Linked DNA regions of Danio rerio. The protein of the gene in region 3 interacts with the protein of the main gene of each other region in a pairwise test. Links are inferred from orthologs where the notes say so. Each region holds a gene or a part of one and is shown on either strand. Other genes may lie near its edges. The genes, in order: nup35, syt6b and kctd9a.

What was found.
Region 1: the proteins of kctd9a (region 3) and nup35 interact in binary tests that used the Homo sapiens proteins (3 or more experiments, as listed by UniProt). The two-hybrid records come from large-scale screens. The link is inferred for Danio rerio from reciprocal best matches to the Homo sapiens genes KCTD9 and NUP35.
Region 2: the proteins of kctd9a (region 3) and syt6b interact in binary tests that used the Homo sapiens proteins (3 or more experiments, as listed by UniProt). The two-hybrid records come from large-scale screens. The link is inferred for Danio rerio from reciprocal best matches to the Homo sapiens genes KCTD9 and SYT6.

The regions. Positions count from the first base shown.
Region 1 is NC_133184.1:12,405,432-12,409,551, forward strand, and holds the start of nup35 (nucleoporin NUP35), read right to left. Parts: upstream 2,821-4,120; 5' UTR 2,777-2,820; coding exon 2,761-2,776; intron 1,372-2,760; coding exon 1,213-1,371; intron 1,089-1,212; coding exon 961-1,088; intron 1-960. UniProt on the Homo sapiens protein: Functions as a component of the nuclear pore complex (NPC).
Region 2 is NC_133186.1:26,742,944-26,746,601, forward strand, and holds part of syt6b (synaptotagmin-6), read left to right. Parts: intron 1-2,514; coding exon 2,515-2,893; intron 2,894-3,658.
Region 3 is NC_133183.1:61,417,542-61,421,199, forward strand, and holds part of kctd9a (BTB/POZ domain-containing protein KCTD9a), read right to left. Parts: intron 2,745-3,658; coding exon 2,677-2,744; intron 880-2,676; coding exon 784-879; intron 218-783; coding exon 68-217; intron 1-67. UniProt on the Homo sapiens protein: Substrate-specific adapter of a BCR (BTB-CUL3-RBX1) E3 ubiquitin-protein ligase complex, which mediates the ubiquitination of target proteins, leading to their degradation by the proteasome.

The DNA.
Region 1 (4,120 bases), on a different chromosome or scaffold from region 3:
TATATATATATATATATATATATATATATATATATATATATATATATATATATATATATATATATATATATATATTATTAATACATTATTATTGTGTTATTATTATTTTATTTATTTTATGTTTTTGCCCTCATAGTTGGCAAGTTACATATAGCGATAGGTTTTGTGACAAGTTTTGTAAAGTAACGTGTAGCTGTAACAGTTGAGATGTGTAGAGGAGCATATGTATGCGAAGCCTGCGCCAGACCATACCCGTGCACCTGGCAGAAGCATAATATCATAATAACATAACAAATATACATCATAATATAATAAGAATAAATCTGCCTTAACAGTATGTGGTTATGTGACTCCTTACGTTGTAGGAAAAGTCATTCAAAAAATTGACCTAGAATGTTAGCATAGTGTTGTACACTAGAATTATCAGTAATAGTGTAATTATCAGCAATAAAATAACATGTTTTCTTGCAAAATAAGCATTCATTAAAGGGACAGCCTGCACAAACAGAAAAATTCTCACACTCAAGTGGTTTTAAATTTTTGTTGCATTTTTTTCTTCAGTTGAACTCAAAGCAAGATATTCTGAAGAATGCTGGAAAAAGCAGCCACTGACAGCCATAGTCAGAACAAAAAATATTATGGAATTCAATGGCTTTTTTGCCAACCTTCTTCAGTATATCCTCCTTTGTGTTCAACAGAAGAAACTCAAACAGGTATGGAACCTGTGGAAATGATTAATGGATGGTGTAATTAATTTTTGGGTAAACTATCATTTTTTTTTTTTAATTCATAAGTCAAAAACAAAAACTAAATACATGGTACATAACACTATGCTTGCAATAATACTTTATGTTTACCGCACTTAAGTATTTATTTTTGTTCTTCATCCACGACTGCATAATTACACAAACCAAAATAATAGTAATAACTAAAGTTTTCATATTTGTTAGCACTTCTCACTTGTTTGCGAGCAGCAAGTGGTGACATTCCCACAGCAGAGCCATTGAGGTCATCATAGATGCTTCTGACTGGAGGGGCTCCGCTCTTATCTTTAGGTGTTGGGACTACAGGCTGTGGAGGAGACCCACCTGATGGAAAAAAAGAACATTAAATCTGTAAGAAAGCAACTTTGCTTATAAGTATAAAAATAACCATAATTAAGGTATCAACAAAGCACTGTAACCAATAACAAGCATTGTTATATGCATTTACCAGCAAGAAGAGGAGACCTGATTTCTGCTCCACCTGTCAAACCAAAAGACCTGGGCTGGGGAGTGACAGGAGCAGGCAGGTCTCCCATTAGAAACCCCGGTAAAAACTGAGCCCCAGGCTTAGGAGAGGTTGGAGAGCCGAGCGTCATTGGTTCAATACCTGTTATGAGACATTTGAAAGGTTTACAGTGTTTAATGCTTTTTAAAATTAAAGCCTATAACATTCCTGGAGTTCTAGTTTCTAGTTTTCTAGTTTCTAGTTTTAGACAGTCTAGTTTTGTGGATTTTTTTGTTCTTCCAAAACCTTTTCAGGCCTGGAAAATATTTAAACATAAAATGTACAAATTCCATGACTTTTCCATGACTGTATGAACCCTGTTTATATTCACACATTCGCTCATTTTTGAACAGTGACACTTTGACATGCTACTTTAAATATTTGGTCATTAGCATTATTTAATTTTGCACTTTGATAGTCATAAGCTGCTTATATGATTACCCTATTAAGAATTTGCAAAGTATACTTCTGAAATTAAGTTATATTAAAAATATATATATAAATTATCAAAGTCTGTGTGCAAATATAAAACCAAACTGACTTTTATCTCATTTAGTGATTTACTTTTTTTCTGTTTTACAAAAACTAATTTGAAGAATTTTGGAAGGCGGTAGCCAAACACAATACACATCCATAAAGAAGAAAAAAGTAGTCCCTCAAAATATCTGGCTTTGCATTCAACACAACATGGTATATACAGAGATTGAAATTCAAAACCTTTTAAGACCTTTTTAAGACTCTTTGCATACCTCATTACCACTTCATGTTTCAACGAGTAACATTGCTAACATTTTAATTTGCAATATATTTACTGACTATAAATACTGATTGCAAGAAACTAATCCTTAACTGTATTTATAAACTAGATAAAAATATTAATCTAGCCTTTACAGCAGCAGGAATAAGTGTTTATCAGGTTTACTGCAGTAAACAAAGCAGCGTGATGTCAAATTTAGCAGGATTTGTTTGATTTCATAAACTACACAGCATCCCAATATTCCAAGATTAGACTCGGGCAAGCTTTAGCATACTGATACAAAAGTGAATTCCTTGTAAAATAGCAAAAGACTTGTTAATGCTTTAAAAGAGTCTTAAATTTATCTAAATATATTTATCATTTTTTATATTTTTTTAAAAACCCCGCGGACACCATGAACAAAGAAAGTTGAACAAGAAAACTAAATAAATGACAATTTTTCTCTTTGCGTGAACTCTCCCTTTAACGATAACACCAATTTGATATGGACAACGAAGCACATAAAAACAGACCCTATTTGGCAGGCACTTGATTTGGCTGTCACGTCACAGCAAATAAAAACACCCACATACAGAAATAGTTTAATAAAGTTATTAAGGGGAATAAAACACGCGTCTTTCTGCAGTGTGCTGACATTAGCTAAGCCACGGGGACGCCCGTTTCCACAAATTCATCGACATACAAACACTTCAAAACCTACAAACTCAAAAATTGTGAAAAGCACGAATACTTACAACTCTGTATCTCCATACTGGATGACTAACAGGCAGTAAACGAACAGAAGATTAGATCTGCTTTACCGAATACCGGAGAGTGCAGAATTTTTTGAACCAGACGGAAGTTGCGCGTGCTCTAATGACACCAGCGAGAGGCACTTCCGGGCGCCTCTGTCGCGCCTCTACAGGGAAGGATGTCAAACGAATTTTTATTTATCCCCAGTAACAAGATTGCGTCTACATTTGGTAATCCTAAATCAAATTGTGTCTTCTGTAACTCAAGCATCAAATCGATAATTTTATTTTTTTATCAAATGGCCACATGTTAAAGGGTTTTGTCTGATTTATCCGTCTTTTTACATCAAAATGTAAATTCAACATTAATTTTTTCCATATGTGATTTAGTTACTTTTCTCATAACAAACATAACAGAATTTATAGGCAATTTTATTATTTATTTACTGGGTAAATATTATACTCACAAATTTGCATTTTCTTCATCATTACCTAATTTGCAGAATTTTCTTTGTGACTTTAATTGTTTAACTACAACTACAACAAAATGTTTACAGCAAAAACAGTGTAAGAACTGTGAAAACTTCAAAAGACTTTGTAAATATTATTAATATTGATAGTTTTGCCTCTCAGTGGCACAGTAGGTAGTGTTGTCGCCTCCCAGCAAGAAGGTCGCTGGTTCGAACCTCGGCTCAGTTGGTGTTTCTGTGTAGAGTTTGCATGTTCTCCCTGCCTTCGTGTGGGTTTCCTCCGGGTACTCCGGTTTTCCCCACAGTCCAAAGACATGTGGTACAGGTGAATTGGGTAGGCTAAATTGTCCGCAGTGTATGAGTGTGTGTGGATGTTTCCAATGGCTTGCGGCTGGAAGGGCATCCGCTGCGTAAAAACTTGCTGGATAAGTTGGCGGTTCATTCCGTCGTGGCGACCCCGGATTAATAAAGGGACTAAGCCGACAAGAAAATGAATTAATGAGTTTTGCCTCTGTACCCTGTTATTTATTATCTTATTTTAGCATATTTTAGATATTCTTATATCATTTTTCTTGTTTATATTGTACTTGATGTCATCCATTGTTATGGTATATCTAATATTAAATAGCTGTACAAGGAAGGTAGATCTCAAATTTGTATACTTGCATGCGTTAGTAGAATGTTCTTACACAAACTAATCTGCAGGTGGCACTGTTGTTTCACAAGGTTGCATTGTTGTCCTGGATCCTCTGGAGTAGTAAAATATTGACATCCTCCTCCTCTTGCTGAAATATTCAGTCTCCATTATTAAAAAGTAAAACAATACGTTTATGGTTTTATATAGCCTACAGTGCATTTCTTGCATATGACTGAATACAATAATTTGATAGCTG
Region 2 (3,658 bases), on a different chromosome or scaffold from region 3:
ATGTGTTCCCACATTGCCCCAGTTGGAGAAGCGAACGACTGTGAGAGTGTGATTGAAATGAGAATGTACATCGATGCAGCACCTGTTTGTTTTCTTGGTTGGCAGCCAAGTGCTCCAGCCCTGAGAGCCCACTCCAACGCATTTGTAATAATCTTAAAGAAATAGATCAACATTTTTATTCATTCACTCGGATATATAATTGTTTCCGTCGAGCTGGAGTTTGACCAATGACCTGCTCTTCTTGTATGAAGAAGTCTGTAATTACATTTATCTCATTTGCAATTCCATCTGGAAGCTGTGTGCACTTAATACTGCCTACTCAGTGGTGTTGATAAGTTTAGGCGGTCTGACGATTTGCTCATTACCCTGTGATATTCGCACTTGAAATGGCTTTAAGAAACCTATTTCAAAGGCAAAAGAACCAATTGCTGTCTCTAGTAAAAGGGAAAGAGCCATACCAGACCGGGCATCACACTGAATGATCATTTCCACAACTATGTTGTAGGTTGTGTTCTCAGCATGTGATGATTAATATTTATGCGAGTGCTCTGTGGTGCTTGACCAAGATGTCTGCAGCATTCATGGCATGATTTGTTTTAATTAACTTCACCACAGGCAAACGGAAGAGACAGGAAACTTGAAAAATGCTACTTTAGTAAACTGATGAACACTGGCCTCGGGTTTTGCTGAGGCTAAACCACTGAGGTCTCTTTCATATATAAGCAGCTTTTTCTCCTCACGTTTATAAAGAGCTGCTTGCTGTTGCTGATTTTATATAGCAGGACTCAACAATAGGGATGGCCTGCTGGTCCAGGATTAGGGTGAAAGAGCTCTGAGTGAGTTGACACGCAGTTACTTATCCTATCAGACTTGTGCTGTGAAACTGAAATTGATATGCATTTATACTTTTAGCCCTTGATAACTTAAACATCTGGTTTTGTGTGATTTATTCTTCATTGTAGCAAATTCTGCTGACTTGACACTAAGAAAGAGTTATGTAACACAATGGTTCTCAATCAAAAAGCCTGATTAAGGGCATCAGAAAATATCAAAGGGGCACAGGTTAATAGTATTAGTGTAGTTTCACAAAAAACTAATTTCCAGAGAAGCACATGATATGATTAATCACAGCTGGTCATTATTTTAGTGAATTTGCAAAAATTACATAGGCTGTGTCCGAAATCGCCTACTACTCAGTAGGTATTGCATTTGAATTTGAATTTACTACTCGACCATTAGAAAAGTTTGTTCTATACAGTATGAATATCTGTAGTATGAATGGAACTCAGATGTACTACATCTGCCATTTTGTCATGATTATGTGATCTACCTGCATCAGTTCACTCCCATCCATAAATTCTTACGCAAAGCATAATGGTATAGCATAGTATCCGTTGGATGCACACTTCAGAATCTCACAGGAAGTAGAAGGTCATCCAGGTTCTTCTCGCATACTGTTTTTCGAATTTTTCAAATTCAGACATACTACTTGGCTTGCATTTTTAGTGTTCTATATAGTATGAAAGTATGCGATTTCAGACGCAGTAACAGACCAGAAGTCATTCTTTCCAATGGAGAGCAGTCCAGAAGCTGCACGGAGGTCCGATCATCTCCGTATGCAGAAAATTCATATCCGATTTGAGCTGCAGAATTGTTAAAATATTTGAACTCCTGCGACTAGAGGCCGATCGGATGTGATTTATTCCAGTGTTTTTCAAGCAGGTCAATGTGCACAAGATGAGAAATGGTAGTTTTCAGAGTTCACACTTAGCTGATGATTGATAATAAAGCTTGTTTGGCTTGCTGACCCGGGAGAGAGCCCTGAGCTTATGAGATCCGCAAACCCTGGGCTCCCTCCCCTGTGCAAGGCGAGAGCGGAGCTTAAGTAGATCTCCATAAACTCCCCTTGGCTTATTTCTAGCTAAATGACGGATATGGATGACTGAGGAGAGGTGTACTCGCTAAGAGCTTGGCTATGGTATCAATTTTGTGTTCAATATACTTTTGCATTACGTGTTTTTTGGACTTTGGGAGGAAACCTGGAGAACCCGGGAAAAACCTGTGCGAGCATGGGAAAAACGAGCAAAACTCCACACAGGAATGTCATCTGGTTTAGTAGGGACTTTAAACAAAGACATTCTTGCTGTGAGGCAACAGTGCTAATCACTAGGTTAAGAATCAGCTTCCCACCCATAGTGTACGACAAAACTGACATTTCTGTGCAGCTGCCACAAGGGGGCGTATTCCGACAGCTGTGTCCAAATGTCATGCAGTGGAAATGTAGCTATACTACAAGCAACTACAATTTTTTTTTTTAGCTTTCTAGAACATGTCTTTATCAGTTTGTATATTATATCTTTAGGTCACAGTACTTAGATTAACACACTCTACAGTTATTTGAACCCACTTTATAGCTGAAACACTGATTGAAACCTGTCTAAAGTCCTTTAGTTTGTTGTGTGTGCTTTTCCTTTTCCAATGTCCACCTCTGTTCATGTTGTATCTTCTGTCCAGACATTTCCTTCAGTCTCCTGCTGCTTGTATTTGTGGTGTGCGGTTTGGCCCTGCTGGGTGTCATCAGCGTCGCCACCTGGAAGCTGTGCTGGGTGTCCTGGCGCAGCAAAGTGCTTTCCTCTAGCGCCACCGCCCTTGCTCCCACCCAGCCAGAGAGAGAACAACCCAGAGAAGAAGGTCACGGTGACTACTACCCGGCCCTCAGAGACATTATGGCAGCAGACAAGCTGAAGGATCCTGGGAACTTTCTGGAGGCGGCAGTGAAGATTAGTCATACGTCGCCAGATATCCCCGCAGACGTGCAGCTGTCCATGAAGGATCATCTTCTGAGACGGACGCGTATCTCACGGCAAACAACCGAGCCGGCCTCCTCCAACAGGTCAGTGTTCTGGAAGAATGAAGAAATGCTTGTCTCAAGACCTTCTTATAGGTCATTGCAGTTTACTGTATTTACAAAGCCATTATGAGGTTAGCTCCAGTCATTCCTAATCATGTTAATACTTTGGAAATCTCGTAAATGTCAGACACAATTAGACCCGAAGTTCGTCTCTGGGACTTATTGACTACAAAGAAGGTCAGACAGTGGAAAAAACACAATAAACTCTCAGAAATAAAGGTATAAAGGTTGTTGCTGGGGGGTATCTTTTCATAAGGTACACATTTGTTCTTTTTAGGTTCTAATTTAGACACTTTACAATCTTAAAAGAAGAACCTAAAATGTTTTTCTTTATAGTGATGCCATAGAGGAACCTTTGATGGTTTCATAAAGGATCTTTTAGAAAAATAATTCTTGAAAATAAAAGTTTTATCATAGCCTAAAGTACATTTAATCTTAAGCATGTTTTTCCACTATAAAGAGACTTTTGTCCTTTTTTTGTTTGTTTGTTTGTTTGATTGATAAAAAGGTGCTAAGGATGTTAAACAATCTTCCTGGAATCATCAATGCCAAAAGATAACCTTTATTAATAAAGGGGAGGTCAATCAGCGTTGTTCGAGTGCTCTGCAACACTTCACTGAAGCTAAGCAGGGATGTGCTCAGTCAGTATCTGCATGGGATCCCACATGGGAAAGCTAGGTTGCTGCTGGATGAGGTATTAATGAGACCAGCAGCTAGTAAAAACAGAATTTGCTGCGTGAATCTTTT
Region 3 (3,658 bases):
ATCATTTAACAAACTGAGAGATGAAAAAGAAGGAGATTTGTCCCAGAGCAAGAGATAAAGGGCTCACATCCAGGTTGGCTCCCGACAGGTCGGCTCTCTCTAGGTTTGAGCAGCACAGGTTTGCATAGGTGAGATTGCAGCGACTCAGATTAGCCATCTTAAAATTAATATAGCGCAAATCCAGCCGAGAGAGATCCGCTCCACTGAAATTAAGACCCTGAGAGGGAAAGAGCAGAAAAAGGGGACCTATTATGCATAAATCGTTTTCATAAGACGTTTAAACACAGTTGTGTGGCAGCAGTGTGTGAATACAACCAGCTTCTAATGGTAAAAATGAATTAATTCTGTTTTTTATGATCACGCTTGATAAAAACAGTCTGCAGAAACACTTCTCTCTTTGAACGTGTCATCAGTAAGAGAAAGCCCCGCCCATTAGGGACCATCTCTCCCTCATTAGCATAGGAGATTAGTCTTGTTTTTGAATCTGCCACTATGTTGACACACAGGCATTTGTAGCTCCGCCCTCTTTTAAAAAGAGCACAGTCTCATTTAAATTTAAAGTGACAGTCACCAAATAGGCATGGTTAGAATAAAAGCCGAAAAGGGTCATGTTCAAAGAGTTTTAAAACATTATTTGTGGGGTATTTTGATCTGAAATGTCACATGCAGACTCTTATGACACTTATTTTACACCTTGTAAAAAGGGCTTAATAGGACCCCTTTAACACCAAAAGAACATGACATTAAATATGACTTTTTATACATTCATATGATGTCTTCTACCTGACAGCGTAGCTCTGATTTGGTTGGAGTAGCCAACAGAAACCGAACAAACTCCTTCCGTGAGAGCGGAGAGTGGTCTTCAGGTGGATGGGAATTCTTTAGCAAATCAGAAGAGTCAAAAATACACAATTAATGCACAATTATATGCATACAATATTGATAATTTTTCGGATTTAGCAAAAAAAAAAAGTTTTTATTTTCAAAAGGATTTACCATACAAAGCCATGACAACAAATGTTTTATGTTGCATTAATTTGAATCAGTTAATCAAGTTTAAAATAAAATGTTTTCAAATATATAAACAAAAAGTTTAGTGACACAATGGCTCAGTGGTTAGCACTAGGGATATAACGATTTATCGTTGTACGATTTATTGCGATGCAAAAATATCACAATATGCATCGTGGCGTTATGAAGATTTGATTACGATATGACGTCTGTTTTCTCTTATTAGTTGAGCTGTTTGCAAGTGAGCTACGTTCCACCTGCTGTCGCACGTGAGTTCAGATTGCAGCAGCAGTAATGTTAGCAGACCAAGATGAGTGGAGCTGAAATAGAGGATGGCCCATCCTCTCAAAATCAGACGTCTGGCAACATTTCGGTTGACCAGTCATTGCTTTAGACTCGTCCGCTTTTTGACACGCATACTGGGTCAAACATCCTAAGTTTTAAAGTCTTCACAGTGAATTACATACTTTGCACAGCGACAGGGATACCTCCTAATGGTGTTGAAAGAGTCACATACTGTATTTATAAGGTACAATTCACCCTAAAATATCATTCTGTCTTCATATAATGTTCCCGCCGCAAAATCACACATGACGTGAGCTGACTGTGAGCTGCTGACTGTGAGCTGTTACTACAGAGGGCGGACTTTGATAGACGCGCACGTATGGCAAGCCGTTTTAGCATTTAAACCTTTGTTCTGACTATCCATAAATATATTTAGAGATATCTCTAATTATATTTTGACTAGTCATAATTATAATTCGACTAGTCAGAATGACAATTAGAGATATCTGCAATTACAATTGTACTAGTACGAAATCAGATTGGAGATATCTGCAAATATATTATGACTAGTCATATTCCTCCATTGACTTCCATTGAAAAATATTTGCAGATATCTCTAAATGAGTTTTGATTAGTCAAAATTGTAATTAGAGATATCTCTAAATTAATTTAATTAAATATGAATTAAATACCTGGAAATGTGGATTTTTTTTGCACACACAAAAAACACAAGTGACCAAGCAAAGCCTTAAGCTCTTACTGTTAAATTCAATTGAATAGAAAGTTTATTTTTTTTTGCACCTTTACTTAAATTGTTCCTTAATTTTGTCTCTGTCATTTCAATAATATTTTTAAGAAGTTTTTAAATTGTTTTATTTTCCAGAGACAGGCCTGTTTAATTTATTTTCTTAAAGAAGGTTCAGTTTAACAAGTTGAAACAAAAGTAATACATAAAAAATAGTTTACTTGGTAAAATTTGCATTTCAGTTTAATTTTAAATTTTTATTCCAAATATCGTGATACATATCGAATCGTGAACATTATATCGTGATACACATCGTATCGTGAGCTAAGTGTATTATTACACCCCTAGTTAGCACTGTTGCCTCAAAGCAAGAAGCTTCCTGGTTCGTGTCCTGGCTAGGTCAGATGGTATTTCTGTGTGGAGTATGCATGTTCTCCCCGTGTTCGCATTGGTTTTCTACGGGTGCTCCGATGTCCCCTAAAGACATGTAATGTAAGTGAATTGGGTAAACAAAATTGGCCATATTGTATGTTGAGTGTGTGTGTGTGTGAACGTGAGAGTGTATAGGCGTTTCCTAGTACTGGGAAAGCCACGCATGATGCGCATGGGGTGTAAAGTGCAGTGTGCTTAAATACCTTGATGGCGACTTCCAGCTGTTCTGCCAGTTGCTCTATTCCAAAAAATCTAGCTTCTTCCAGTACACCTATAAAGCATTAATAAAATGATCACATTTGAAGATTGTCGTTTTCATCTCATCTTATGCCTCTCTTAAAAAATTGGGTGATACTTTATAAAGGTACAATTCTCTAAATTATTACATCATTATTAACTATGACTTTTGCCTCAATAACTCCCAATTTGCCGCATATTATTAGATATTGAGGAGGTAGTTAGGTTTGCAGTAGGTAGGATTAGGGATGTAGACTAAGATCATGCAGAATATGCATTTTATAAAGTAGTTTTAAACAGCTAATATCTCAATAAAGCGCAGGTAATAAACTACTAGTTAATAGTGAGAATATGCTGCTTAAACTAAAGTGTTACCAAAGCTTGTATGTTAAATGGATCCATGTTCAGTAAAACTTAATAAAGAAAAAATAGCTAGTAGTGTACAGTGTTGTATGCAATTAAAAAATAATTAGTTATTGAACAGTGGAGTCGTTATCACATTTGGCCTTACTTTTTATAAACATGGCTTTGAATTAGTGATTGACTCAGGTTAAAAATATTGCAATAATCTACATACCAGGCTAACTGCTTATATTAGGCCCAGGTGGGATCCGTTTATTTACTTAATGTGTAATAAATATATACATGTGTGTAAATATATATATTTGTTCAGTTTTTTCTATTAATTTCAGTACTATTATTGAATAATATGCAGATGTTTAGGTGATTTAACAGTTTGTAAAGTGTAATTTTCTGTCTATTAGTAGATATATATATATATATATATATATATATATATATATATATATATATATATATATATATATATATATATATATATATATATATATGCAGTGCTTAATTTATGAATTGCGAAGTCCTGGAACAGATTGGGCTAACGGATTCGACATGCTACCCAAGGATGGAGAGGTGTCACTCATGAAAGTG